2 linked regions of the Oryctolagus cuniculus genome follow. The protein of the gene in region 2 purifies or fractionates together with the protein of the main gene of each other region. This does not show direct contact. Links are inferred from orthologs where the notes say so. Each region holds a gene or a part of one and is shown on either strand. Other genes may lie near its edges.

Region 1 (15,697 bases), on a different chromosome or scaffold from region 2:
CTGCCAAACCATTGAAACAGCATTGCAATAGAATACTATCTGTAAACATCTAAGCTACATAACTTTTACATTTATGATATCTACTATTAGGCTTATTTCACCAGAAATCATCTTACTTTTTTAAAAAAGATTTATTTGTTAGAATTACAGACAGAGAGATCCACCTTCCATCTGCTGGTTCACTCCCTAAATGGCTGCAATGACCGGAGCTGGGCCGATCTAAAGTCAGGAACCAGGAGCCAGGAGCTTCCTCAGAATCTCCTATGTGGGTGCAGCATCCTATCCACTTGGGCCATCTGCTGCTGCTTTCCCAGGCACACTAGCAGGGAGCTGGATCAGAAGTACAGCAGCCAGGACTCAAACTGGAGCCCAACATGGAATGCCAGCACTACAGACAGCGGCTTAATGCATTATGCCACAGTGCCGAAACCAGGAATCATCTTACCTCAGTTACTTGTGATGTTAAGTAATAGCACATTCACACAACTATGTGAAGATTACTTGATATAAGGGATGGGCTTTCAGCACAGCAGTTCAGTCACTGCTTAGGACGCCTGTGTCCCATATTGGCACACCCGGTTTGAATTTAGCTCTTCCACTTCTGACTCAGCTTCCTGCTAATGCACACCCTGAGGCAGCAGACGGGTCCAGCAGATGAGTCCTCACTACTCATGTGGGAGACTTGGAATTGAGTTCCAGGCTCCTTGCTTTGGCATGGCCCAGCCCTACCTATTGCAAGGATTTAGGGAATGAATCAGTGGTCGGAAGATCTCTCTGTCTCTCCGTGTATATGTGTGTGTGCATTTCAATCTTACAAATAAAATAACTTTTTTAAAAAAAGATCATGGCCGGCGCCGTGGCTCAATAGGCTAATCTTAATCCTCCACCTTGCGGCGCCGGCACACCGGGTTCTAGTCCCGGTAGGGCGCCGGATTCTGTCCCGGTTGCCCCTCTTCCAGGCCAGCTCTCTGCTATGGCCTGGGACTGCAGTGGAGGATGGCCCAAGTACTTGGGCTCTGCTCCCGCATGGGAGACCAGAAGAAGCACCTGGCTCCTGGCTTCGGATAGGCACGATACGCCGGACCGCGGCGCGCTGGCCGCAGTGGCCATTGGAGGCTGAACCAACGGCAAAAAGGAGGACCTTTCTCTGTCTCTCTCTCTCCCTGTCCACTCTGCCTGTCAAAAAAAAAAAAAAAAAAAAAAATCATTTGGGGAACCAGCATTGTAGAACAGCAAGCTGACCTGCCATCTGCAATGCCAGCATCCCACATGGGCAGCAGTCTGAGTCCCAGGTATTCTGTTCCACTTTCAATCCAGCTCCCTACTGATGTGTCTAGAAAGCAAAGGAAGATGACCCAAGTACTTGGGCACCTGCACTTGCACAGGATACTGGATGAAGCTCCTGGCTTCAGCCTGGACAAGCCCCAAGCATTGTGGCCATTTGGGGAGTAGATGGAAGATTTCTGTCTCTCCCTCTCTCTGTAACTCTTTCAAATACACTGAGAAAAAAAAAAAACAATCATTTGGGACCAGTGTTGTAGCATAGTAGGTTAAGTCATTGCCCGCAATGCCAGCAAAAAACTGTCAGCCTGAATCCCGGCTGCTCCACTTCTGATCCAGCTCCCTGCTAATGTGCCTGGGAAGGCAGCGGAGGATGGCCCAATAACTTGGGCCCCTACCAACCACGTCACGGACACCCAGATGGAGTTCCTGGCTCCTGGCTACAGCAAGGCCCAGCTCCTGGCTGTTGCAGGCATTTGCAAAGTGAACCAGCAGGTAGAGGATCTCTTTTTGTCTAATTCTGCCTTTCAAATAAATACATAAATCTTTAAAAGGGAGTGGGGCAGTGTTGTGGTACAGCAGGTAAAGTGGCCACCTGCAACAACAGCATCTCATATGGGTGCTGGTTCATGTTCTGGCTGCTCCACTTCCAATCCAGCTCCCTATTCATGGCTTGGGAAACAGCAGAAGATGGCCCAGGTGCTTGGGCCCCTGCATCCACAAGGGAAATCCGGAAGAAGCTCCTGGCTCCTGGCCAGCCTGGCCCAGCATTGGCTGTTGCAGCCATCTGGGGAGTGAACCAGCAGATGGAAGATCAGTTGATCTCTCTATGTAACTCCTTCAAAAAATTAAATAAATCTTAAAAAAAAAAAAAAAAAAAAGGCATTCAATTATACTCCAGACACGTGTGGCAGAACGTCAAAAGCATGTGTTTTTTAAAGATTTATTTATTTATTTCAAAGTCAGAGTTACACAGAGGGAAAGAGACAGACAGGGACAGAGAGTGGCAGAGGGAAAGAGAGATCTGCTATCTGCTGGTTCACCCCTAAAATGGCTGCAATGCCAAGGATGGGCCAGGCCAAAGCCAGGACCATGAACTTCATCCAGGTCTCCCACATGGGCAGCAGGGGCCCAGGCACTCCAGTCATCTTCTGCTGCATTTCCCAGGCCATTAGCAAGAATGCCAGATAGGAAGTCTAGCAGCCAAAACACAAACTGGAGCCTACATGGGGCAGGAACTGTGGAACAGTCGGTTAATCTGCCTGCAGTGCTGGCATCCCATATGGGTGTTGGTTCTAGTCCTGGCTGCTCCTCTTCCGATCCAGCTCTCTGCTATGGCCTGGGAAAGCAGTGGAAGATGGCCCAAGTCCTTGGGCCCCTGCACCTGCATGGGAGACCTGGCTCTTGGCTTCAGATCAGCTCAGCTCCAGCCACTGCTGTTACCCACATGGGAGACCCAGATGGAGTTCCTGGCTCCTAGTTTCAGCCTGGCCCAGCACCTGCTATCACAGGCATTTGGGAAGTAGACAAACAAATGAAAGATATCTCTCTCTCTCTCTCTCTCTCTCGCTGTCTCTCCCTCTCTCTCCCTCTCTCCAACACGCCTTCAATTAAAAAAAAAAAACTTAAAAAAAGATTTATGCAGCATATTCATATGGAATTTCTATTTATCAAGATCAGAATAAGCAGGAAATCCCCTAATCTGTTGCAGTGCCTTTGGTCTAAAAGGTTACCTGATGACAATCCAGCACGCTTCTTGCCACAAATCTGGAGTGATTTCATCATCATCCTCATCATATTGCATATCTGCAAAAACAGAAACAGTGACTTCAAGTGCAGTAAGATTCCATTCAGAAGAGCTTGCACCTATACTGAAAGCAGAAACAAATCTACTCTCTAACGAATAAAAAGCAATTCTCTTACCCCACTTTTCTAAAATTTCAGTAAATTAATAAAATGCCTATATCACATAAATATTTTTTTCCAACATACAAAGAGGTTTTATTATAAAGGTTCAGTGCAAACTGTGTGGCTCTGTAAGTTTTCCATTTTCTCGAGAAAGTCCATAAAGTTTTCATTTATAGCTAATCAAGATGATAACTAGTAGCAAGCTCATAGTCCTCCAATCAACAAGCTCCTTGGGGACTGGAGTCAGACAGCAGGGTCATGGGGTAGAGGTAGAAAAGCTTCCAACATCGGGTCAAAACCCTAAAACAGTGGTCTGTTATAGCAACATATCGTTATGCAGACAGACATGACTGCAGGGCTCATCTTTATCTGCCATCCCACATGTTCATCTACAAAGTGATCTTGATAAGCCAACTATCACAACAGAGTGGTCTGTGCATGCACCCCTTGAATCTGGGTGGATTTTTTACTCTCCTGTGACCAAAAGAAGTGATGATGCATGATTTTAGAAGCTAGATCAGAAAAAGCAATACAGGGGCCGGTGCTGTGGTACAGCAGGTTAGCGCCCTGGCCTGAAGCGCTAGCATCCTACATGGGCGCTGGTTCTAGTCCCGGCTGCTCCACTTCCAATCCAGCTCTCTGCTATGGCCTGGGATAGCGGCAGAAGATGGCCCGAGTGCTTGGGCCCCTGTACCCACGTGGGAGACCCAGAAGAAGCTCCTGGCTCCTGGCTTCGGATCATCCCAGCTCCGGCTGTTGCGGCCAACTGGGGAGTGAACCAGTGGATGGAAGACCTCTCTCTCTGCCTCTCCTCTCTCTGTGTAACTCTCTCAAGTAAAAATAAATAAATAATCTTTAAAAAAAAAGAAAAGAAAAGAAAAGAAAAAGCAATACAGCTTCCACCCTGTTTGCTACAACACTTGTTTCTGGAACCCTGAGCTGCCAATAAAAAGTCCTACTACCACTCTCAGGCTGCAACTCTGTGAGAAAGCCCAAACCTTAAGGAACGGATACTTACAGATGTTACAGATGCTCTAATAGCAATCCCAGGCCTCGAGTCCTCCCAGGCCAGGTGCCAAACACGTGAATAAACACTCCAGATCCTCCAGTCCCCAGCCTTCATCCTCCCCAGACCACACACACTGAGGTGACAAGTCCTGCATACCAGGCCGTGTCTAAATTCCCAGTCCACAGCATCCATAAATATAGTAATTTTTAAAACATTTATTTGAAAGTCAGAGTTACAGAGAGAGAGGAAGACAGAGACAGATCTTCACTCCTCAGATGACCACAAGGGCCAACACTGGGCCTAAAAGCTGAGCTGGGCAGAGACCTCATGTTACGTGAACAGGAGTAAACCAGGCAAAGAAGGTAAGGCTAGGAAGAGTAGAGAAAGTATGAGGGGCACCAAGACACAGCTAAGAGTAGCAGGTTCTCATGTTCTGCAGCTCAGAGCATGACTACCACTCAAAACAGATCAGGGGCTGGGGCTGTGCCGTAGCAGGTAAAGCTACCGCCTGCAGTCCCGGCATCCTATATGGGCGCTGGTTCGAGACCCGGCTGCTCCACTTCCAATCCAGCTCTCTGCTATGGCCTGGGAAAGCAGTAGAAGATGGCCCAAGTCCTTGGACCCCTGCACCTGCCTGGAAGACTCAGAAGAAGCTCCAGCCATTGCAGCCATCTAGGGAGTGAACCATTGGATGGAAGACCTCTCTCTCTGCCTCTCCTTCTCTCTCTGTGTAACTCTTTCAAGTGAATAAATAAATCTTTTTTAAAAATTATATATTGTATACTACATAAAGAACTCAACGAGGGGCAGGTGTGTGGCCTGGGGTAAGATGCTGGTTAGAACACCTGCATCCTACATCAGAGTACCTGGGCTCAGTCCCTGGCCCTGACCCCTAACTCCAGCTTCCTACTAATGCACATCCTGGAAGGCAGCAGTGATGGCTCAACTGACTGAGTTAATGTCACTCATGTAGAAAGTCTATCACTGGGCCGGCGCCGCCGTGGCTCACTAGGCTAATCCTCCGCCTTGCGGCGCCGGCACACCGGGTTCTAGTCCTGGTCGGGGCGCCGGATTCTGTCCCAGTTGCCCCTCCTCCAGACCAGCTCTCTGCTGTGGCCAGGGAGTGCAGTGGAGGATGGCCCAAGTCCTTGGGCCCTGCACCCCATGGGAGACCAGGAGAAGCACCTGGCTCCTGCCATTGGATCAGCGCGGTGCGCCGGCCGCAGCGCGCCAGCCGCGGCAGCCATTGGAGGGTGAACCATCGGCAAAAGGTAGACCTTTCTCTCTGTCTCTCTCACGGTCCACTCTGCCTGTTAAAAAAAAAAAAAAAATTAAATAAACAGGACAGAGGATCTGATAGGTTCTAAGCATAAGGACATGGAAATGCTAACTGCTTGACTATCAGTTTACACTACATATATGTGTTGAAACACTGCTTGGCACTGCACACAATGTACAAATATTATGTGTTAATCAAAATACTTTTAAATAAAAATACATGACGCCCAGGTTTCTGGTTCCCACAAAAGAGAAGGGTGGTACCATGCTCTAAGACAGACAACCCAGAAGCCGATGGCTTTGGAAGTGCAGATGATGATGGGAGCGGGGGTGCATAAAAAACATGGTGAGCTCAGCCTGGGCAGTGACAATTTACAGAAGCCCAGAGACACTTCAGTTAGAGACGCAGGACATCTGAGCTGGGAATGTGTGCGTATGTATTGAGACGTCATCCACATACACAGTAACTGAAGCCACGGAAAACGCGAACAGCAGGAGTGAATGAGAAGGGACAAAGTCTGATAGGTGTAAGAATCAAGTGACGGTGCTAAGGCTGAGGAGATGGGCTGCCAAAAGGAACTCACCCATGATGCTAAATACCGCAGGGCCTGCCTGAGGCTTACACAGTGCTACCGGCTGTATCAGTGGGAAGGGCATCTTAATGAAGCAGCACTGAGATCAGATTAGAATGTGCTGAAAACCTGAGAGGCCACAAACTCTTCTGAGAACCCCGGTCGCCCATGGAAGGAGAAAGGTCAGATATTCCCAGGAAAGAAACAACTGAGCAGAGTTTAACTTCTTTGCAGGTGCCAAGAGAGATCTGACACTTTCACATGGCAACATCCGAAAGGAGCAGCCTAATTGATGAGGGCGTATCTAACAGACTTCAGAACAGGCAGGAATGGAACATGGACCACTCTTCTCTTCCACAGGTACTTTATACGTTGCTAATGAGAATGTAAATTCGCAGTTAATAGCACAGTGGTCACTTGGCACCATCCTGCAAAATGTTAAATGAATATACCGTTTGACCTGACAATTCTCTATTTAGCGATTTTTTTTTTAATATTTTTTATTTACTTAAAAGGCAGTTCCAGAAAGAGAAAGGGCTTCCATCCGCTGGTTCACTCCCCCAATGGCTGCAGCAGCCGGAGCTGGGCAGGCCCGGGGCCAGGAGCCTCTTACGGGTCTCCCGCGCGGATGCAGGAGCCCAGGCACTGGGCCGTCCTCCACTGCCCTCCCAGGAAAAGACGAGAATGATGCAAATGCCCATCCCTAAGAGACTGGCTGAGTCGCACTACATCTAAACAAGCGAGCAGTGACGATGGACTCCACACACTGGCAGGAAAGCCCACTACATAATACTATGTAAGAAATAGAAATACAGGAGAGCACGAATGGTGCTTTTTGTCTGAAAATCGGGGAACCACACAATCCCATTTACGCTCACTCACACGTACGTAAAGAAACCTTGGAGCAGGAGAATCTGTACCAGCAGCTACCTGCGTGGACGCGGTTCAAACCGGACAGCTGGTGGGTCCGATGAGCCCCGGCGCTGAGACGCTAAGCCTGCGCTTCTGCTTCCTCCGAGAGGCAGCGGAGGCGAGCGGGTGGGATGCCAGGGGGGCTACGGGACTGGGAGCCAGAACACCTCTCTGGCGGCCGCGCGTCCCTCTGGGGCGCAGTCAGTTCCAAGGACACCTTCGAGACAATTCCCCGAGGTTTAGGACTGCACGGAGGAGGGCCACCCGCGGCCGCCGTGCTCCCAGGGCCCAGCACACAACCTAACGGATGGCCAGCGCCACTCCGTCCATCGGTGGCCCGGGGACCCGAGGACCGTCGGGACGCCCCCGAGCCGGAACAACGCCATCTGCCTACGGTTCCGCACGCCACTCCACCACGGGACGAACACAGCCGGCCAGGAGCCTGCACGCGCGCATCCCCCGCGCCGCCACTTCCCGCACGCCCAGCTCGGACCGCGGCCCGGGGGTGGCGGGGGTACACCGCGGGGGTCTCCGGGCGGCGGACGCAAAGCCGTCCAGCTCCCCCATTTTCCCGCCGCGGAGTCTGCGTTGCATGGTCACCTACCCTCGTCCGCGTCGTACATGTTGGCAAACGGTCCAGGAGATCCTAACCCTCAAAAAGAAAAACCACTGAGACAGAAAACCGCGTAGCAGCCGCCACAGGGCCGCAGGCAGAGACGAAGCAACTTCCGGTTCCGGTGTTCCCACAATTCTCTGCGTCCCCGAAGGCCCGCCCCACCGTCGCCGAGGTGGGATCTGCGCCTGCGCCAGTTGAAGCATAGGGCGGGCTGGGCTCGGGGTCGCTCGGGCGCGGCTGAGCCGGGGCGCGACCAGTCCGAGGCGGAGGGGCGGCTCTACAGCTGCTTCACGTTGAACAAACCCCGCCTGAAAAAAATCCAAGTGAATTTGTTAGCGGTTCTGGCCGTGGCGTGAGCTCGCAGGTTTAAGGCTGTATTGTTTGCACTCCAAAGACCAGGAAGCCACAAAACTAAAAGGGATTAAGTGCGACTTGTGCTGGCCGTAGCGCCTTGAGAAAGCTTGAAGAAAGATTTATTTATTTATTTGAGAGGCAGATTTACAACGAGGCAGAGAGGTCCTCCGACCGCTAGTTCACTCCCCCAGGTGGCCGCAACAACCGCGGAGCTGAAGCCAGGAACTTCCTCCCGGTCCCCGACGTGGGTGCAGGGGCCTCAAGGACTTGGGCCATCTTCTGCTGCCTTCCCGAGGCCCCAGCAGAGAGCCGGGTTGCAAGTGCAGCAGCCGGGACTCGAACCTGTGCCCTCAAGGGAGGCTGATACCGCGGCTTTCCCGCTACGCTTTCATCGCGATAACTCGCGGGATCTCGAGGTGGAAGGAAGCCGCACCTCCGGGGTTTGGGGCAGAACGGGCGCCTGGGGCCCCACTGCGCGTGCTCGGTGGTGGCTCCGCCCCCTCGCGGCGGGCCGCGATCCCCATGCTGCCCGCACGCCTAGCGGGGAGGCTGCTGGGCCCCGTGGTGCGGTGGTCCGCGCCTGCGGTGCGGCTGCTGCGGACGGGATGCGCGGCCGCCGCCGCCTCCCAGCCCCCGTCGGGCCTGCGGCGGGCGCTCCCTCAAGGCCCCGCCGCGCCCGGGGACGACACCGAGGAGCGTTTCCTGTTCCCCGAGTACACCCCGGAGCCGGAGCCCCCGCCGACGCCTGAGGAGCTGCTGCGGGCGCTGCGGGAGCGGGAGCAGGAGCAGGAGGAGCAGGCGCGGCGCCGGGCGGAGCGGCGGCAGGCGCGGGCCAGCCTCCGCGCGCCCCCGGCCGCGGGCCGCCCGGACCCGGCGGTGCCGCCCAGCGGCCTGCCCTGCTCGGGCTGCGGGGCGGAGCTCCACTGCCGGGACCCCGGCGTGCCCGGCTACCTGCCCAGCGAGAAGTTCGCCCGCGCCGCGCAGGACGGCCAGCTGGCGCGCGCCGTGTGCCAGCGCTGCTGGCTGCTGGTGCACCACCGGCGCGCCCTGCGGCTGCGCGTGAGCCGCGCGCAGTACCTGCAGCAGGTGAGCGCGGCGCTGCGGCGGCCCGGGCCCGCGCTGGTGCTCTACCTGCTGGACCTGCTGGACCTGCCCGACCCGCTGCTGCGCCACCTCCCCGCGCTGGTGGGCCCCAAGCAGCTGATCGTGCTGGGGAACAAGGTGGACCTGCTGCCGCAGGACGCGCCTGACTACCGGCGGCGGCTCCGCCAGCGGCTGTGGGACGAGTGCGTGCGCGCCGGGCTGCTGCCGGCGCCGGGCCACCGAGGGCCGCAGCCCGGCGCCGGCGGGGACGAGGAGCAGAGCGCGTCCCGCACGGTGGTCAGGGACGTGCGGCTGGTCAGCGCCAAGACCGGCTATGGGGTGGAGGAGCTGATCTCGGCGCTGCAGCGCGCCTGGCGCTACCGCGGCGACGTCTACCTGGTGGGCGCCACCAACGCCGGCAAGTCCACGCTGTTCAACACGCTGCTGGAGTCCGACTACTGCACCGCCAAGGGCGCCGAGGCCATCGACAAGGCCACCATCTCGCCGTGGCCGGGTGAGTGCGAGAAGCGGGCGCACCGTGCCCGCCGCCGGGCGCCTTCCCTGGAACCTTGCAGCCCTGCGGGGGTCTCGCGCCTCCCTGGCCGGAACAGAGCCGAAGCCCCTGCGCTCTGGCCGTGTCCCTGGAGCTGGCTTCTTCGTAGGGTCCTCTGGCTTTGACTCCCGGCGTGAGGCCAGCGGGTGCTCCACGCACAACACGTGAATAACCCGTAGTGCAGAGCGTGCGTGGGGAAGAAAGGGCGGGTGGTGACTTGGTAAGAAACTTGCGTGCTTGGAAAATGGGTCCCTGTGTCTGTGACCCTGTTTGTGCTGGACTTGGGAGAGCGCACTGCGACAGCCCTGTGTCCCCTTGAAGCCAGACTTCACCCTTGCTTAGTGAGCTGGTCTTCTGCCTTGCGCTGGAGTTGAATTCTCCGCAGTTGCTTTTTACCTGGTGATGTTGAAAACAGCAATCAGACATGCACACGGATTTTGGATTCAAGTCCTGGTTAAGCTTGCGAGCCAATCGGCTTATTTACGACTCCTCCGTGAAGTGGGACTATTTCTAGGGGGCTAGCGTGGAGGTTGCGTGAGAGAAAGCAGCGTACCCCACAACAGCGCGTATCCTCAGAAGCGCTCATTCCTTCCCCTTATTCCCTTCCCCGTGTTCCAGGTACTACGTTAAACCTTCTCAAGTTCCCCATCTGCAACCCAACTCCCTACAGAATGTTTGAAAGACAAAAAAGACTTAAAGAGGACGCGGCCAAAGCTGAAGAGGAGCTCAGTGAGCAGGAACAGAATCGGCTCCGGCTCCTGAAAAGACGTGGATACGTAGTGGGTAAGCGTCCTGTGGGGAAAGCCCTTGTTGGTCCCATGCCGGAATTCTCCCCGAAATTCAGGGGCCTGGGGCCAGCCGCTTGTTGCGGGGAGAGGCTGCCTTGCTTGGTCTCTTTAAAGGCAAGGCTGCCTCCATCTGGAACCCCAGACCGATACTCGTGGTAAATGTTGGTGACTCCGTGCAGCGGCTGCCCTGGGGACAGGCGTTTCATGCAGTAGTTACGACGGCCATGTCCCCTATCAGAATGCCTCTGTTCAACTCCTGTGTGCAAGCTCGCGCTCCGGCTTCCCGGGAGGCAGCAGGTGATGTCCTGGGTATTTGGGTCCCTGCCACCCTCCTGGGAGACCCAGCCTGAGTTCCCGGCTTGGCTGCTGCGCTTCCATCTGGCCCGGCTGTTGAGTTCATTTAGGAAGTGAATCAGCAGGAAGATGATTTCTCGGTCTGTTTTCCAAATAGAATTAGTAAGTTTGCTTTTAATTTGTTCCTACAAATCAAAGAGACCTTGTCTCACTTCTGTACACCTAAGTTAGCCTTCGTAAGTTGTCTGGAGTCAAAAGCTTTGACGGACTGACTGATGACCTCGGTATAATGTGTTCTAGGAAGAGTTGGAAGAACATTCTTGTATTCAAAGGAGCAGAAGGGTGAAGCTGCCTTTGAGTTTGATGCGGATTCACTGGCCTTTGACATGGAAAATGAACCTGTGCTGACTCCAGACAAATCCACCAAGCGAGTGGAATTGACTCCACAGGACGTGAAAGATGCCCACTGGTTCTATGACACCCCTGGGATTTCAAAAGAAAATTGTGTATGTATCTGGTCTCTTCCTCCACACTTACTTTTTTTTTTTTATTTTAATATTTACTTATTTGAAAGGCAGAGTTACAGACACAGAGAGAGAAACAGAGAGAGATCCTCCATGGGCTGGTTCACTCCCCAGATGGCCGCCACAGCCAGAGCTGGGCCGGTCTGAAGCCAGGAGCCAGGAGCTTCCTCTGGGTCTCTGGGTTCAGAGCCCGAGCACCTGGGCCATCCTCTGCTGCCTTTTCAGGCACATCAGCAGGAAGCTGGATCGGAAGTGGAGCAGCTGGGACTCAAACGGCACCCATAGGGCATGCCCGCGTCACAGGCGGCGGCTTTACCAGCTACCCCACAGCCCTGGCCCCCACGTTTACTTTCATTAGCACAGGCGCTGTGTTTCGGGCAGAGAGCAGGAGGAGAGATGCACTTGCACTTGCGATTCAGTTCTGGTTCACTGGTAAAACAGGCCAGGGAGGCATCTGTCCTCTAGTTCTCCCTTCGTTTGGGGACCTCGTGGCTGACAACCCACTTGTGGTGCTGTACAGACTCCTAGCTGTTGAGGCTGACAGGCACCACTGCAGTGCAGCCCGCTCGTCCGTGCCTGAGTTCCTAACACGCTGTAGCCCTCATAAGGCCTTCTGGCTGAACGCAAGGCAGGAGTCACTCACGGGGAGCAGGCGCAGTGTCCCCTCAGCTCCCAAGGTAAACACTGCTCTTCAGCTGAGCTGAGCCGTCACCCAGTAACTGGTACCCTTTGGTCCTCGGGGCTGCATGCACCAACTTCCCTGGGCCTGGAAATACTTGGAAGTCTCTCTCTTCCTCCTGTGTCCCTGCCTCTTCTCTTTCACTATTTCATCCAACAAACATCGACTGTCCGGCGGCGTAATCCAGAACATGAGACGGGCAGCGCAGCAGCACAGGCTCGCCACAGAATTGTTGTTTGTTTGGTTTTTTTTTTTTTCTTAAGATTTTATTTATTTATTTGAGAGGTAGGATTACAAAGAGAAAGGTCTTCCATCCACTGGTTCACTCCCCAAATGACCACAACGGCTAGAGCTGAGCCGATCTGAAGCCAGGAGCTTCTTCCAGGTCTCCCATGTGGGCACAGGGGCCCAAGGACTTGGACCATGTTCCACTGCTTTCCCAGGCCATTAGCAGAGAGCTGGATCGGAAAAGGAGCAGCCGGGGCTCGAACCCCAGGCTGTATGGGATGCTGGTGCTGTAGGCAGAGGCTTAACCGGCCCCCAGGCCCACACTTTATTTTTAATTTTATTTATTGATTTTTAGGACAGTTGCAGGATCTCACGGGTCATTTGAATTTTTGTCTTGTTCATTTCACCCCATACCTGACTCTTACGTGTTCATTCGGTCTCACAGCTGCTTCTCTTACTTGTAGTTTTGGTCTCTGTCCAGGTCATTGATGGACTCAGGTGTGCGGCCACGATAGGCTGTCACGCAGTCCATCCGCCGCTTCCTCTGCAGCTGGTGCCTGAGCAGTCCCCGTCTCCTCCTGACGTCCGTATCTCCCTGTGAGACAGCACAGCTTTCTTGGGTACTCTTCTTGCCTTTGCCTCACCAGCGTCACTTCCAGTTTCACTGTCAGATGCATTTTTTTTCGTGCCCCTGTTATACATGCTGCAGACTTTTTCTTTCTGCATGGTTGCCCTCCTGGAAACACACCTGGGGCTCAGTCTCTTTTTGCCCAGCAGTAAGTGCCTGGACGGCTGCTTCAGGATATCCCATCGCTTCAGTGCCAACTCCTCCTTCCCTTTCAGCCTGTTAGCCCAGGCATAGCAGTTGCTTTAGTCACGAACCTTGCTGGGGGCCCCAGTGCTGTGGCGCAGCAGGCTAAGCCTCCACCTACAGCTCTGGCATCCCATATGGGCGCCGGTTCCTGTCCCGGCTGCTCCTCTTCTGATCCAGCTCTCTGCTATGGCCTGGGAAAGCAGTAGAAGATGGCCCAAGTGCTTGGGCCCCTGCACCCGTGTGGGAGATCCAGAGGAAGCTCCTGGCTCCTGGCTCCGGATCTGCGCAGCTCCAGCTGTTGCAGCCATCTGGGGAGTGAACACTGCATGGAAGGCATTTCTCTGTCTCTCTTCTTCTCAAATAAGTTAAATATTTTTTTTAAAGGGCCTGTTGAGAAATCTTTCGCAACATATTCTAGCCAACAGAATGACAGCTTCAAGTTTTTAGATATAAAACCACTCAGCACTGGCAGTTTTATTTCTGGGTCAGTTTACAGACAAACTTTACATGCGTTTGATGACGTAGACCACCATTCCTCAAGCTGTTCTCACAAAGAACTCGAGTAAGAAAGTTTTGGTGCTACAAGTGGCTTACACAGTGCCTTTTCAAACAAATAATGAGAAAAATTTATAGCCGTCTTATTTTTTTTTATAAGCTTCTCTATCATATTTTTGTTTCCTCAGTTTTTTTCTAATTGATTTATTTATTTGAAAGGCACACAGAGCAGTCTTCCATTGGCTGGTTCACTCCCCAAATGCCTTTGATAGCCAGGCCTGGGCCAGGCCAAAGCTGAGAGCCGAGAACTCAGTCCGGGTCTCCCACCTGGGTGGCAAGGACCCGAGCCCTTGAGCCATCACTGCTGCTTCCCAGGAAGTTGGAATCTGTCCAGAGCAGGGCTGGGACAGGAACCCGGCATTCCATATGGAGTGCAGGTGTCTTAACCGCTGTGCCCAACACCCGCCCCTTGTTAGGCTTTTAGGAACCAAATTTACAGTTTTTTGTCTACTCTTAATCAGTTTGATTCCTTAAATCTTACCTGAATCTTGTAGTTCCTGTCTTCCCATTGCTGTTTTCTCCAGTCCTTTAGAAACTCTTCTTCATCCTTTAGAAGCCAGAAGATTTATCTATTTTCATCTTATTCGAAAGACAGAAGTCTTCCATCTGCTGGTTCATTCCCCCAAATCTGCAATAGGGAGGACTGGACCAGGCCCATGCCAGGAGTTTGGAACTCAGTCTGGGTCCTCCCACACTGGCGGCAGAACCCACACTGAAGCCATCACCTGCTCCTTGTATGTGAGTAAGAAGCTCATCGGAAGCAGAATAGTTGGGACTTGAACCAGCCACTTCAGTACGGGATACAGATGTCCCAAGTGGCAGCTGAGCCACCACCCCAGATGCCTGCCCTGAGATTAATTTAGACAGAGGATTACATAGAATATAAAGTCTGGACTATTTTTTCATCTCTTTATCTTTACAGGCAAATCACTATATATTGTATTTTCAATAAAAATAATTTTCTTAAAATTGTATCGTTTGCTTTACAGATTTTAAATCTTCTGACAGAAAAAGAAGTAAATATTGTTTTGCCAACACAGTCCATTATCCCAAGAACCTTTGTGCTTAAACCAGGGATGGTCCTCTTTTTGGGTGCTATAGGCCGATTAGATTTCCTGCAGGTAAGAAACAGCTATGCCATTAAAAAAATGAGTAGTAAATATTGGGATTCACTTTAAGGAAACACATATGAGGGCGCTTAAAAGTCTGGGAAAATGTGATTAAAAGGCAAGTTGATTTTGGTGCCAAAGAGTTTTGAGATCCTTGCACAATTTTTTCATAAGCACAGTTCCACAAACTTTTTTTTTTTTTTTTTTTTTTTTTTTTTTTTTTTTTTTTGACAGGCAGAGTGGACAGTGAGAGAGAGAGAGACAGAGAGAAAGGACTTCCTTTGCCGTTGGTTCACCCTCCAACGGCCAACGCGTTGCGGCCGGTGCACCGCGCTGATCCGATGGCAGGAGCCAGGTACTTCTCCTGGTCTCCCATGGGGTGCAGGGCCCAAGCACTTGGGCCATCCTCCACTGCACTCCCTGGCCATAGCAGAGAGCTGGCCTGGAAGAGGGGCAACCGGGACAGAATCCGGCGCCCCGACCGGGACTAGAACCCGGTGTGCGGCGCCGCAAGGCGGAGGATTAGCCTAGTGAGCCACGGCGCCGGCACCACAAACTTCTTGAAGATCCCATTTACTTTTTATTTGAAAGGCAGAGGGAGGGAGGGAGATTCTATCTGCTGGTTCAGCTCCCAGATGGCTGCAGTAGCCAAGGCTGATCCAGGCCATCCCAGTCTCCTGCTGCCTTCCCACGCAGCAGGGTGCTGGATTGGAAGCGGAGCAACTGGGACTCAAGGGGCATCCCAGTGTTGGATGCTGGTGTTAAAAGCAGTGTCTTAACCTGCTGTGCCACAGTGTCGGCCCTGTGTTGCAAAATATTTTTACACCAAAATTAACACCTTTCAATTCCATTCTTCCACGATTTTTTTAAAATATTTATTTATTCATTTGAAACAAAGCCCATAGAGTGCTGGTATTTGTTATTGTTATTATTTGAAAGGCAGAGAAAGATTTCCCATCCACTGGGTCATTCCCCAAATGTCCAACAGGCAGGGACAGGCCAGGCCAAAGCCAAGGAGCTATGAAGTCCATCTGGGGCTCCCACGTGGATGGCAAAGAACCCAGTACTTAGCCAGCACCTGCATTAGCAGGAAGCTGGAATGCAAAGTGGAGCTGGATTCTGAACCCAGGCACCCAGTAT
Region 2 (14,250 bases):
GGCCTCAGTTCCTGCGGGTGGGGGACGGGAAGGGCTGATCCCCGCGCCCCTGGGGCTCCAGCGGGAGCCCGGCTTTGCAAGTGCTGTCCAGGGGCTGGGCTGGGCGCAGCCAGTTCGGGCCCCGGCGGCTCCACGTCCAGTCCAGCTCCCTGCTAATGCGCCTGGGAAAGCAGTGGGGCTCAGTCCCGGGGCCACACGTGGCAGGAGCCGTCACGGGGAGACGCCTGAGCTCTGGACCCCGCCCCAGGCTGTGTGGGACTGCCCTGGGAGGGCTGGGACAGCCCGGGGCCCCAAGGCCCAGATGTGGGGGGAGGGCTGCTCTCCGGGGGCCACACCCCAGGCCATGCCCACCTTGGGCAAGGGGACTGAACCTAGGACCATGGGAGTGAGTGGCCTAGGGAACAAGGGCGGGCAGGGAAGGGGTGAGCCAAGACCTGAACCCCCAAACCCGAGCCAGGCACCCTGCAGCCTGCATCTGCCTTCGGGCTGGGGGGGTGGTCCCTCCCTGAGTCGACCAACCAGGACCCCTCAGCCCTGTGCCCGGTGGAGACAGGCAGCCCATCCGGGCTTTTTCTTTTAAATGTTTTTTCCTCCCCAAGATTAATTTATTTGAAAGGCAGTGTTAGAGAGACACACGCACGCGCGTGCGCGCACACACACACACACACACACACAGGTCTTTCATTTGCTGGTTCACTCCCCAAATGGCCAAAATAGCCAGGGCTGGGCCAGGCCAAAGCCAGGAGCCTGGAGCTCCATCCGGGTCTCCCCCGTGGGTGCAGGGGCCCAAGCACCGGGGCCCTCACTGCGGCCTCCCAGGGTGCGCATGTGCAGGGAGCCGGATCGGAAGCAGAGGAGCGGGGACTTGAACCGGGGACCCTGATGCGGGAGCCAGGGCCCTGTGTGCATCTCCATGGCTGCGCCCGACGCCAGCCACCCACCGCTGGAATTTGTTGAGGTTTACTTTAAGTAGTAGAATATGGGCTGTCTCCGTGAACGTTCCAAGTGTACTTAAAAAAAAAAAAAAAAAAAAAAAGGGGGCCACTGCCCATGGCGCCGGCACCTCCAATCCCGCTCCCTGCCAGCGCGCCTGGGCCCAAGTCCCTGGGCAAATGGAAGATCTCTCTCTCTCGTTTCTCCTTCTAACTTTTTCAAATAAACAAACAGATCCTCATTAAAACCACACAAGAAGCGCAGGGCTGCAGAGCCGCCGCATCTGGGTGTCCCGGAGACACCAGGGAGGCCCGGCCGGCTGCGGCTGCCCACGCCTTTGTCCGGCCGGCGTTCCACGCTGTCTGCTTCTGGGGCATGTGCCCGTGCTCGCGCCGGCTCCTGGCGTGGCGGTCTGGTTTCAGGGCTCTGACAATGTAGCTGGGCTCCCCTCTGATGAACGCACTGGTGTTCTGGAACGTTCCTGTGCCGCTGCCCGCGACGCATCTGCGCATGGACATCTTTGGTTTTTCCTTGCATGGGGCCCGCCCGGCCTCTCGACCCTGCGGGGAGCGTCCTCTGGCAGACAGGGCGGTCCTCGGGGGAGCCCCCGGGCCCCACATCCTCCTCTCATCACCCCAGGTGCCGTCCCAGGGCTCGGCTCGCTGTCCTGGGATTGGTCTGTGGTGCGGGCTGCGTCGTTTCTCTGCGTCTGTTTTCAAAGGTCTCACTCTGGGCTCTGCTCCCGGCTCCGGCTCCGGCTCCGGCGGTCGGGTGCCTGCGCCCGCGTGGGAGACCTCGGGGGAGCTCCTGGCTCCGGCTCTGCCCATGGCTGCTGCTGGTGAATGGGAGCTCTCTCACCCTAACAGCTAACTGTCTAAAAACTCCCAGCTGGTTCTTTGACCTATGTCTTCTTATTCATTTCAAGAGTGTTTGCCTTTACTTCTTGAAACATGGTTGCAGTTACTGCTCCAAGTCTCTGTCTCCTGATTCCAGGGCTGGCAGCTGCTGTTCCTCCGCGACGTGGGATTTTCCTGCTGCCTCACGTGCCGGGTCATTCCAGACCACGTCCTGGGCACAGCATATCCTGATGTGCCGGGCCCCACTAATCCTAGGAAGAATGCTGGCATTCCCAGGCGCAGCCGACGAGCCTGCCCGGCCTGGTTCTGCGCGTTGCGGTTGCAAAGCAAGCACCGTCTTCAAAGCTGCAACACGGGCATGTTACATAGGCACAAGTTCAAGTCCCGGCTGCTCCACTTCCGATCCAGCTCTCTGCTGCAGCCTGGGAAAGCAGCAGAAGATGGCCCAAGTCCCTGGGCCCCTGTACCCACGTGGGAGACCTGGAGGGAGCTCCTGGCTCCTGGCTTTGGTCTGACCCAGCCCTGGCTGTTGAGGCTATTTGGAGAGTGAACCAGCAAATAAAATCCCTTTTCCTCCCTCTCTATAACTCTGCCTTTCAAATAAATAATAAATCAAAAAAAAAAAAAAAAAAAAAAAGGTTTTCTCACCGTTGGCTGCTACCAGTTTTCATTTCTGCAGTAGCTGTCCCAGGTGCTCTCTCCACCCCTGAAAACCCAGTCACTTGTCCAGCCTGGCCCTCCCCGCCTGGCTCGGCCTGGGTCTCTGGCATGCACCTGCTCTGGCCTCTGCCTCACAGGCCAGAGGTGAGCAGGGGACACCGGGTGGCCTTCTCCTAACTGGACCCCCACTCGTTACGCAGCCCAGCATGGGGCCAGCTGACGACCCCGGGGTCTGCGTGCATCCATGTGGGAGACACAGGACGAGAGGCCCAGGTGCGAGGGTAGCTCAGGAGGGAGGGCCGTGGAAAGAGGGAGACCCTCCTCCTTCCCGCGGGGGGGGTGGGGAGGGGCCTTCCCAGCCTGTGTGCCAGAGCCAACCGCCCTGTCCCATGCTCCCCGGCGTGGACGGGGACGTTGTCAGGACACGAGCGGCGCAGGGCCAGCAGGATCTCAAGAGGTCAGGGTGAGGGCTGACGAGGACCACTGGGGCAGCGGGAGCCCCCACTGCCACCCCGCCGAGCGCCGCTCTCTCTCCCTGGAGCCCTAGCACACGCGTGAGGCTGCTATCAGGAAGTGCACGCGTCCCGCTTCCTCCACCGCAGGTGGCAGCGAGGACAGAGGACCTCCGGGCCAGGCACAGCCCCTCCCCTTCAGGGCCCCTCCCCGGCGCGCCGGCCACTCACCAGGTCGCTGCTGACCAGGAAAGCAGAGAGGTCCACCAGGACCCAGGTGGGGATCATGAAGAAGACCGCGTGGCAGCCCAGGATGTTCAACAGGCGCAGGTGGTGGATTCGCGAATCCCTCAGCACCTGGGGAGGGACAAGGCCGCCTAGAGCCACGGCCACGGCCACGGCCCCCCGACACCCTTGCGTGAGCGGCGAGCCCAAGCCCGTGTGCGAAGGCGGGACCGGGAAGAGGAGGCAGCAGTGGGTGGTGCTAAGTGGCCGGGGCTCCACCTCCTCCCCACAGGAGACCCAAACTGAGCTCCAGGCTCCTGGCTCCAGCCTGGCCAGGGCCTGGAGCTCCATCCGGGTCTCCCGGGTGGGTGCAGGGACCCAAGCACTCGGGCCTTTGCTGCTGCCTCCCAGGGTGCGTGAGAGCAGGGGGCGGGAGCCGGTGCTCTGACATGGGACACCAGGGTCCCAGCCGTGCGTGGCTCCACCCGCTGTGCCGCGACGCCCAGCCCTGCACCGGGTCTCCCGGGTGGGCACTGCCGGGGCAGCCGCAGGTCAGAGCCCGACACCAAGCGGTGCTCGACACAGCGTCTGAGTCCGCGTGGAGACTCCCCTGCTTCCCACGTCGAGCCTATGCTCGCTTCGGGACGGGAGGACACGGCACTCAAGAGCAGACAGACAGGACGCCATATCTACTTGCCCGGGTCTCCGGCACCCCCTCCGCCGGGCAGCCCCCCGGGAATCCCGGATACCTTTTTGGAGAAGATGTTCTGAAGCGAGAAGCAGAGCGTGGCGGCGAGGGCGCTGACGAGCCCCCACACGTCAAAGGACAGCTCGGTGACGGTGGCCAGCAGGACGCCACTGATGATGGGGATGAGTGACAAGTACACCTGCAGGGGGCGGGTGGGCGCTGCTGAGCCCGGAGGACACGGCTGGGCAGGAGCTGTTGGCTCTCAGGGGAACCTGGGGAGCGGGCTTGTGTCCCAGGGCGCAGCCCCACCCCCATCGAGAGCCTCTGCCTCCTGCTGGGCCCTAACCTAACAGATGTCTCTGTCCGGGGCGTTTGGGGCTCTCCCAACGTATAGCTACCCCTGGCGGGGCACCTCAGCCGCTCAGCATTCATAGGCACCTCCTGGGACCCAGCACCCCCACCCTGCTCGGCCCAGGCGTCCCCCCAGAGCGCCGCCCACCCACCCACCCACTGTTCACTGCCTGCTAGGTCACTCCACGCCCGTGACCCCACGCACGACTTTAGGCTACACAGCAGGCACTCAATAGCTGGTGGCAGGGTATACAGTAGGTGTTCAACAGTGCTGGCTGGATGACTGACAGGGGGCCTTGCAGAAAGCGTGGGGCACTTGCAGGATGCACAGGGACCTCTGCCTCTGTCCCGGGGCCCACCTCGGGGTGGGGGGCACCCACCAAGGCCAGGGCCTGGGACACCAAACGCCAGCTCAGGACGGAGGCCACACCCCCGTCTACCTCACAGGTGAGTTATGACAACATGATCAGTAGCTGCCCGGCTCCGTGTGAGGTTCCCGGCTCTGTGCCCAAGCTGGGGTACGGTGCCCCACGCAGTGGGAAACCCGATAAATGTGACGCGGTGTTGGGTGATGCCGCCGCGGCACACTGCCCCCCCCCCCCAGTCACACCTGGTGTCACCCTGGAGCCCAGCGGGAGCACACGCAGCTCTTGCTGGGATGATTTTGCGAAAGAGGCACAGGGCCAGGGACCCCACGTGCACTTGAGGACGGCGGGCAGCGGGTGGGCAGGGCTGGCGCCGGCGGCAGCCACGGCCACAGACTCAGGGGCTGTGCCAGAAGCCACCTGCTCAGGTGCACCTCGGCTCCTTGGCCCGACCCCGGCCACCCACGGGGCCCGAAGACCCTGCAGGCATCAAACGCGGCCAGCCTGGCAGCTCGCTGACCACCCCGCCGTGCCTCGGGTCCCACCGGGGATGGGGGGGGCACCTGCTTGGGGCGTCCCATCAGGAGGGGACCAGGCCGCCAGCTACGTTGGCAGCGAATCAGAACAGCAAGACATTGCCCGGCTGCAGAGGGACCACCCAGGGCCACAGGCCCCTCCCCACGCCCCCCTGCCGCCAGCAGAGAAGCCATAAGAGGGCCGCGGGAGGCCCCGGCGCACCGACTTCCTTGTTTGACAGGAAGCCGGCGTGGCCCCGACCACGTCACCATCTGGGTCCCTCCCGAGCGGCCCCCACCTGCCCGCCCCTCACCTTGGTGCTCTGCTTCTCCTTCATGATGACCCGCGACAGCAGGACCACCCAGATGGGCATGGTGGCCTTGACTGCGGAGACAGAGCGGAGGGGCCCTCAGCCCGAGCCCCCAAGCACCCACCCAGCCGGGGGCAGGTGGGGGCGGCTCCCTGCACGCCCCGACCGCGGTGGTCGCCCCCGCCCCGCCCCCTGCCCCGGTCACCTGTGTGCGCGTAGGACACGGGCACCTTCCAGATGCTGACGTGCGCCGACACCGACGCGAAGTACTTGCCGAAGGCCAGCGGCAGCACGTAGCGCGGGTAGAATCGCGGCGGCAGCTGCGGCCCGGGCCCGGGGCCCGAGACGGGCGGCGCGGGAGGCACGCGCCAGGCGCGCAGCAGCGGCGGCAGCCCCGCGCACAGCGCCAGGATGTGGCACAGCGACACGGTCACCGGGAACGGGAAAGCGCTCAGGATCACCTTGTTGACCACGTTGCCGCCCGCGCTCAGCGCGTACCACAGCAAGCACAGCGCCGCCACGCGCGCGCCCTCGCGCGCCCCGCCGCCGCCGCCGCCGCCGCCCGCCGCGCCCGGGCCCCCCGAGCCCGCGCCGGGGCCCGCGCCCGACGCCGCCGCCATCCTGCCCGAGCGGCCGCCCCTTCCCGCCCGTCCGACGGCCCGACGCCGGGCGGAGGCGGGGCCGGGCGCGCCGGCCAGCGCCGCTCCCATTGGCCGCCGGCTCTCTGCGTCACTGGGACGCGCCGACGGACGCGCCAGCCACCACGTCTCGGGTGCAGGCCCCGCCTTGCTATTGGGATGCGCTACCGGAAGGGGCGGGGCGAGTCCCGGAAGCGGAAGGAAGTGGGGGTGCCGGCCTGCTTAGGAGTTGGACCTGCGCTGGCCTGGGTTTGCTTGCGGGGAGCAGGGGCTGGAGCCCGAGCGAGGTGGTCGAGCGGGAACGCGAGGACCCAGCCGCGTCGCCGTCACCTGTGAGTGAGGATGATGGAGCTCGCCGGCCGCCACTCGGCGGGTCATGGTTGTCCCCAGCCCTGTTCCTGATGGGCTGGCCGCGGCGGACCCCGGGGGCAAAGGGAAAAGACCTTTGGAGGAAAACAAGCTGGATTATGGAGAAAGACCTTTGAGCTAGATTATCGCCCCGCAGCGCGTCCCGCCGAATGCCAGGAGCGCTGTGCGGTAGGTGCCGGCGTCCCTATGTATTCGGACAGGCGGCAGTGCAGACCGGGAAGCGACCTGGCCCCGGGGGTTCCAGCGCTGTGCGAGAGGGGGTGGTGCCAGCGTTTCTTCCAAAAATCACGCGCTTCTCACTTGCGTCCCCTTACTGGGCACGCTCGTAGGACAGGGTCTTGTCTTACCCTGTGCTTGCATTTCAAAGGCAGGGGTCCTGCGGCTTCCTGGGTCCTCGGAGCCGAGCCGGGGGTGGTGGTCCCGCCAGGTGTGTCGGGGGCGGGGTGGGGGAGAAGGGAAAGCAGCGGCCTGTCCCAGAGCCCTGGTCTGCGGGAAGGAGACGGACCCTGCGCTCCGACCTGTGTCGCAGGTAGCACCTGCCGGCCACCGGAGCTGGCCAGGGTGAGCCCACTGTGCACGGAGTGAGAGCAGTGACCCTACTCCGCAGCGCGGCCGGGAGTCGCAGCCCACCCACCAACGGGCTTGCTGGTTTTTGAGAGGACTTGGATCATTTGGTTCTCGCACCTCCAGGGAGTGAGCCAGAGCGAGCCCACGGCTGGCAGGTGCAGGGCTCAGCCTCACCCTGCCCTCAAAGCCACTCGACCCCACTGCACCCTTGTTTTGGACAGGGCAGTGTGTGTCCAAGTCCCTGCTGGCTCTGGGCGGCTGCGGGACGTGGGGGAGACAGGGACAGGATGGCCCATCGGGGTGGTCTTATTACCCCTTTATAATGGAGGCAGGACAGCTGTTTCAGTGATCAGGGTACTAAGGCCAAAGGGCTGGGCCTCTTAGAACAACAAATATTTGGTGGTGGTGGTGCGGGCAGGGGGGAGGGGCCGAGGCCACTGGAACCCGGAGCTGCAGACGTGGCGCCTGTGGGGTCTCTCCAGAGCTGGCAGGTGGCCGCAGCCCAGCCTGCCGTCGGGCTGTGGGGCCCGGGCCCTCCCGGCTCGTCCAGAATCCAGGCAGGCGCTGTGTGGCTGTCCGAAGGCCCAAGTAGGAAACGATTCTCAGACGAGTTTGTGCAAATGGGTTTTTTATTTCCACATTTATATCACAAGGTGTCCACTTACTGGACCAAATAGCAAAGTTGCTCCCTTCTGCGTGAGGACGCAGAAGTCTGGGTTCTGTACATTCACTAAGGCTCCTTGTTTTTGCAAATCGCGTTTATGACGAGTAACCATAAGGCAAACGAATCTAAAGGAATGGTTATGAGTGTCAGCGCAGACGGCTCCTCGCCCGGCGGCACGGCGCGCACCCCAGTAGCACCCGCGGCGACATCTGTGTTGTTCTGGGGGGGACTCTAGGAAGGTGAACTCCCCAGGCGTGTGGGGGAGGGGCAGGGACGGGGAGGGCGGGTTTTGGCTGGTGGTCACATGGAAAATAAACGCGAGAGAACTGAAATTTTTTGCAGCATTTCTTTGAAAAACTGGGGATTTTGAACCGAAACCAGATCGAAATGGGTGGATGCTCGTGGAGTGTGGGCTAGACTGGTCGTCCACGTGGCCCGCCCGCGGCCCCTCCCCCCGGCTCCCAGACCCCAGAAGAGCGAGTGCGGGGCCGAGACGCGTGCTCCTGCTGCTCCCCCCAGCGCGGAGCCCTGCGCCCGCCTGCCTGCCTGCCTGCCTGCCTGGGTGCCCGGGTGGGGACTGACGCGTTCGCTCAAGTTCCGAACTCGCTTTGCCGTCCGTGCGCGCCGCCCTCCCTTCGCAATTTTGTTAGTAAACTGGTAGCAGCATTTCACAAAAGGAGGAGAGTCCCGGGAGGGGGGAAGGGGCGGAAGCCCGCGTGGCTCCTGCCCCCCACCCCCGCTCCCGCCCGCCGCGAGGTGGGAGTGCGCCCGGCGGCCGCGGGCGCTCAGTCCAGGCAGACGTAAGGCAGAACGTTCAAGCGCCCGTCGTCGCCGTGCGGGTCGAGCGATATGCACTGCGTCCAGTCATACCAGTTACCCTGTGTGTCCCGACACCCGTTCACCCCCGGCCACTGGCCGGCCTGGATTCTGTCGAGATCGTCCTGCGTGAGCTCCCGGCTCAGCCCCGGCAGCTCGGCGGGCGGGCTGTGCGGCAGCAGCACGTGCGGCCGCCGGGCCCCGAGCCGGCTCTGCTCCTGCTTCAGGTACTTGGACATGAAGTGGTGGGCGCCCGGCGTCTGCGTGCCGGAGGACAGCAGCAGGCTGCTCTGCCGGCTCAGGTACGACTGGATGATCTCGTTGCCCGACAGCTCCTTCCAGTTCGTCTGCTCAAAGGGGCTCTGGAGGCTGGCCTTGGCCTCGGGCGCGTCCGGCTCTGTCCTGGGCGGTTGCTCCGTGCGCGCAGGGCTGTCCGCCCGCACTGGCTCTTTCTGGGTCAGAGGTTTGATCTGTCTCGTCATGGGGTCAAAGGTGAGCTTCCGCTCTTTTAACCGCACGGGCCTCACGCCCGCCTCGGCCACCTGCCCGTCCAAGTTCACCGTGTAGTCGCGTGGCCGGTACCTTTTCTTCTTTTTGCTGTCCGAGCCCCCGGCGGCGGCAGCGTCGCTGTCCACCCTGGAGGAGTCTGGGGAGAAGCCGGCCGGGGGCAGCCCTGCCTTGCAGCCCGGCGCCGCCAGTCGATGGCGGCCCTCGGGCTGCTCCAGCCAGCGCACCGGGCTCTCGGCACTGGGCAGCAGCTCCAGCCGCCGCACGGGGGGCGTGGACGGCTGGGCCAGCGGGAGAGGTGAGGGCACCTGGGTGGCGTCGAGCGGCTGGAGCCGCGGCGAGGGGCTGGACACGGAGCCCTTGGGTGCATACGGGCTCCGCTGCCGGGCAAAGGAGCCCTCGTGCCGTGAGTTCCGGGGGCTGAAGGAGCAGCGCGCGGGCCCCCTGGGGTGGGGGGGCCCGGGGGTCTCGTCCACCCTGTCCAGCTGCTGCAGCACCGCTGCCTTAGTCTGCAGGCAGGGCCCGGGGGGCTGGCCCAGGCCCGGGGAGCTGGTGTGCGGCCGCACCGCGTGGACAGGGATCTTGCCGCTGTGCGTGTCATTCTCGGTGGGCTCCACACGGCCGCTCTCAGGGCCGTGCCCCCCGCCGCCGCCACCGCCACCGCCGCCACCGTCGGGGGGCCCAGGGAAGCTCTCTGGGCTCCCGCTGATCCCGTTGGTGGGGAGGGGGGACGAATTGGGGAGCAGGGGCTCGTGGCTGGCTTTGGAGACCTTGGCGGGCGGCCCGGGGTGGCCGAGGTCGCGCTGGTCCCCCCGGCGCTTCTGGCCGCCCAGTCTGTCCGGCCGCTGCCCGGGCAGCCGCTGGATGTCGTTGCGGCTCTTCAGCTCCTGGATGCTCTTGGGCGTGCCGGGCGGCCCCGCCTCCGGCCGGCAGTGGTGCGCGCCCCCGTTGGCCGAGCCCGCGGCCCCCGCCAGCCCGCGCAGCGCCGCCTCATTCTGGTGCGCGGGCTCGATGAGCTTCTGCCAGCTCCGCAGCAGCTTCTTGGCGCGCTTGGCGAGCTCCTCGTTGGTGGTCTTCTTGCGCACGTCGTTGATGAGCTTCCCGAGCCGCGTTTCCTGCAGAGACAGCAGCCACAGTGATGGGGACGGGACGCGCCTGGGGGCCAGGACCCGCCCCTCCCCCACTGGCCCAGTCTGCCAGCTCTGCAGACGAAAACCCACGGGAATTCCCGGTGCTCTGGGACAGGAGAGCTCCCTGGCGACTGTCGGAGGCGCTGACCAGCAGGCTGGGGGCTGTGGGTGGCGCACACCCCAGGGGCCCTCCCGCCCGCGTTCCTGCAGGGCCCACTCACCTCCAGTGCCTCTTTGGTAATGGGGTATTTCTCCAGGCTGGAGATGACTTCCAACACCGCCACCATGTTCCGGATCTGTGGGACAAGAACCAGCGCTCAGGCCCTGCCCTTGTCCCCTCGTCCGCGGCAGCCCTCGCCCCTGCCGCCCCTCCCGACATGCCCAGCTCCTGTCCTGGAGGTGAGCTCTGTTCTGTCACGCGATGGGGGCAGGAGCGAAGGACTTGCCCAATAAAATGCACAAAGCTTCACACTGCCTGACCAGAACGCACCGGGCAACTTGACTTACTTAAGGCCCCAGACACCAGAGCGTGCGCGTGCAGAACGCCACCACGTGGAGGGTGACGCCTGTCTGGGACAGTGAACACCTGGGCAGCAGTGAGGCCAACAAGGAGCCTGGGCGACAGGCAGGCAGCGCCCCTGGCAGCTCTGGAAGCCAACCGGGAGGGTGACCCGCAGCCCAGCTGGCAGAAATGCTATCTGCGGGTACCAGGAGGCTCCGGGGCACGCGGCTGCGGCGCCGTAGGGCTTTATCTGGCAGGTGCAGTGCCCCTCCATGACCTTGCCGTGGCCACGCCCGGTCCCCAGCACTCTCCGGGCATCACCGATGGTGACAGGCAGCCAGCGGCCGCGACCACACAGTGCAGGTGCCGCACACAGGCCATCTGGCACACAGTGCCCGCCCCAGGCAGAGAGGGTCGGGGGTTAGTGCAACAGCACTCGCGTCCGCCAAAGGTGGGCGGGACACACAGGTCAGCCGATAGGCAGACCCCAGGCTCTCAAACAGCAGGCGCCAAATCCCACCCCAGCCGCGTGGACCCAGGCCTGAATGGGCAAGCTCGCGCTGCTTCTCGGGGGACAGAGGCTGTTTCTCGGCAGTCAGGACACACAGGCACCTCTGGGAGCCCCCGTGGCAGTGGGCGTGGGAAGAGCACGGACCACGTGGGCGCCGGCTGGAAGCAGAACTTGGGCTTCTTAGAAAACATCGTGTAAGGCACAATTGCCGGGTCTGCACCAGAACACATCGAGCACTCCTACAGGGGGCGCCGTGTAGCCCATGTGAGTGCTGGTTCGCGTCCCGGCTGCTCCACTTCTGATCCAGCTCCCTGCTATGGCCCGGGAAAGCAGAGGAGGACGGCCCTAGTGCTGGGGCCCTGCAGCCACTCGGGGAGTGAACTCGTGGGTGGCTGTGTGTGTCTGCCTTTCAAATAAATTAACTTTAAAAAAATAAAACAAAATGCCACCAAAGCACCTTGGCTCTGCGCCCTGCTTTCTCGCTTGACTCCACAAGTTCAGGTCAAGCAGCCCTGGCTGGGCTCAGTGGCGCCCCCCAGCGGCAGGGATGCTATTTCATGTCGGGAGACACAGCGCGTCCCCACTTGCCACCACAAACAAGGCTTCGATGGATGCCTGTGTGAGGCACGACTTTGGGCCACTGGGAATCGTGGGGTGGTCTAGGCCCCGTGCACTGCCCAAGGGCAAGAGCGGGACAGGCAGGACTGTGGCACTGCTTTCCTGCTGCTCACCAATTAGAGCCTTAACCGGCGCACACCCGCACCGCGCGACCAGGCTCCGCAGCGTGCGGCCTCACTGGGCGAGGATCAGGGCGCCTGCCGGCAGGGGGTTCTCAGGACCCTCTTCCTGCTCCAAGTGCTGGCAGGCTCTGGGGTCCCCGACTTCCTGCTAGCTATCACCAGGTGTCACCCTCCTGAAGCCAGCGCGGGCCGCCACGTGCCCAGGACGAGGGACTGGGGTGGACTTCCCTGGCGGCCCGCGCATCCTGGCTCCTCTCACCTGCAGGCCCATCTCGACAGCCATCGCCTTCCTCCCCCAGCTTAAAGTTCCAGAGTGACCACAGAACAGTGACTACGGCCCCCACACCCCCAACTCTGCTGCCCGCCTGCCAATGGGCCAACCTCGCAGTGCATGGTTCACGGCCAGAGCCCAGCCTGAGGGGAGAGTGGGTAGGAAACAGCCCACCCTGTGCTTACCTGCAGGGGGCAGGGGCGGGGGTGGGGGTGGCTGGTCCCTGCAGGGCTCCTGGGCTTGCCACATGGCCTCGTCTCCACCCCACTGACCTCAGCCTGGTATATTTAGCGCCATGGGCCCCTACGTCCTCCTGAACCAGCAGTCCCCGGAGAGTGGGACGCTGCCCAGGCCCAGCGAGCCCAGCGGCAGGCACAGAGTGTCCTTGTCCTCGGGCAGACGCCGTCCTGCTGCCAGATGGGAGGGAGGAGGTGGAACACCTGGGCCACCCCCGGCTCTGGCACGAGCGGCCCCTTGGAGCTCACCGCCGAGCCAGCAGCCGGCCTAAGAGCCTCCTGCAGCTGCGTGGGCAGCAGGGACGAGGGGTGAAGGTCTGGGGCCTCGGGCCATGTCCTCCGTGTCCCTCTGCAGATCTCTCTACCCGCTGGGGAGGAGGCCAGGCTCCTGGGGTTCCACCTACAAAGCCAGGTCAGGTAGAGAGGGGTGCGTGCCCCTGAACACCAGCGGAACATTCCAGAGCAGTCAGGCCCCCACCCCCAGCAATGCAGTGCCGGCCCCCCACGAAGGCGGGCAGGACATGGAAGGTCCCTGATCCAACAGCCCTGCAGAGCCCAACACGGCCACTCTGTCCCAGGGGACACCGAGCACCCAGCCGTGCGGGGCCCTGAGGAGCAAGAGGCGAGCTGGCCACGGGAAACCTGCCTCGCCTACCACACCATACCCCTCCAGTGGCCTCCCACCGTCAGTGAAGGGAGCCTGTGGCTGACAGGGGCTCTGGCGGCCAGGACGGACCACCAGGGCAAGGCCGAGAGGGGACAGACACGGGGGGCGCGGGCTGGCTCCCACACACTCTGTCTCCCACCAGCCTTCGCTGCTGCCGCGCCCCAGGTCTCGGTCGCTCCCGGAGCCGTGGAGAAATGTGCCTGATCCGAATGCCAGCACAGGCGCTGCCCCCGAGGCAGCCTAAGGCGGCTCTGCCGACACCGCCCACGGCACACAGGGCGCTGGGGGCCCGCAGCTTCTTCCTGGGGATTCATTCCCAGGCCAAACACCTCCCCACCCTCTGCCAAGTGGCTTTCGGAGAAGGGAGGAGTTGGCAGGGACTGCGGCCTCTTAGGTTTGTCAGGGCTCCCCGAGCAGATGCACATCACTGCTTTCCTCGAAGCAGAGAAGCCGGTGCCGGCCCAGTTCCACCAAGGGGCCGTCCCGATCACCACCACCACCATGTTGGCCTGGAGTGGGAGGGGGCCCTGAGGTGCCCACCCCGAGGGCTCTCGGGCAGCAGTCCCAGGGGTGCTGTGGACTGTCACACGGGATCCTGGCCTGGAGAGCACTCGGGGCCGACAGGAAAGGACACACCGGCCAGCCCGTGTCTCTGGGGTCTCACAGACACGAGTGGGGACGCCTGGTCTTGGGCTGGAGGGTCAAGGCGGGCGGAACTAGCAGGGAGAGGTGACCTGCTATCTAGGTGAGGGTGGCCAGCCGGACGTGCGGCATGCATGCCGGGCGCTCGAGGCTCTCCCGTGCCCGCGCCACCGAGACCCAAGCGCAGGCGCGGACGCCCCAGGAGACCTGAGGCTTCCTGCACAGGTGTGGCCAGCACGTCTCACAGCCGACACGCGAAGGAAGCGGGGCCGGACCCACACAGGGGAGCGCCCACAGGGAGCCCGGGGCCCAGGAGCGCTGCCCCTCTCCCGGGGATGGGACGGCAGCAGAGCGGACTGGCTCCACGTGCTGTCCACCCAACAGGACGCGGAGCAGACTCCTCTCTGCTTTGATGTCTGAAATTTGCCGAAGATAACAAATGTATATACACGACAAATCACACCTGATCTGTTAACACCGGACGGAAGGTCTCGGCTCCAGACGACTGGCAGGCACTCAGGTGAGGGAGCACAGACCCGATGGCAGCCCCTCCGCGGCGTGTGGCTCCACCATCTGCCACCAGTGCGGGGAGGGGGCCGTGCTGGCCTAACCTCTGCTCCAAAGGACACGGCC

The links.
Region 1: the proteins of MED26 (region 2) and POLR2B purify together in Homo sapiens (affinity purification with mass spectrometry; 3 studies listed by BioGRID and IntAct, with this or other methods). This does not show direct contact. The link is inferred for Oryctolagus cuniculus from reciprocal best matches to the Homo sapiens genes MED26 and POLR2B.

What each region holds. Positions count from the first base shown.
Region 1 is NC_091439.1:107,679,791-107,695,487, forward strand, and holds the start of POLR2B (DNA-directed RNA polymerase II subunit RPB2), read right to left. Parts: upstream 7,755-15,697; 5' UTR 7,584-7,754; coding exon 7,565-7,583; intron 7,178-7,564; exon of another isoform or gene 6,979-7,177; intron 3,088-6,978; coding exon 3,015-3,087; intron 1-3,014. Other genes in the region: NOA1 (nitric oxide-associated protein 1), read left to right, coding at 8,453-9,527, 10,185-10,349, 10,949-11,154, 14,438-14,569. UniProt on the Homo sapiens protein: Catalytic core component of RNA polymerase II (Pol II), a DNA-dependent RNA polymerase which synthesizes mRNA precursors and many functional non-coding RNAs using the four ribonucleoside triphosphates as substrates.
Region 2 is NC_091447.1:64,926,280-64,940,529, forward strand, and holds the end of MED26 (mediator of RNA polymerase II transcription subunit 26), read right to left. Parts: 5' UTR 12,765-14,250; coding exon 12,558-12,764; intron 10,345-12,557; coding exon 10,270-10,344; intron 10,034-10,269; coding exon 8,381-10,033; 3' UTR 7,543-8,380; downstream 1-7,542. Other genes in the region: SLC35E1 (solute carrier family 35 member E1), read right to left, coding at 3,134-3,259, 3,877-4,014, 5,361-5,431, 5,563-5,977. UniProt on the Homo sapiens protein: Component of the Mediator complex, a coactivator involved in the regulated transcription of nearly all RNA polymerase II-dependent genes.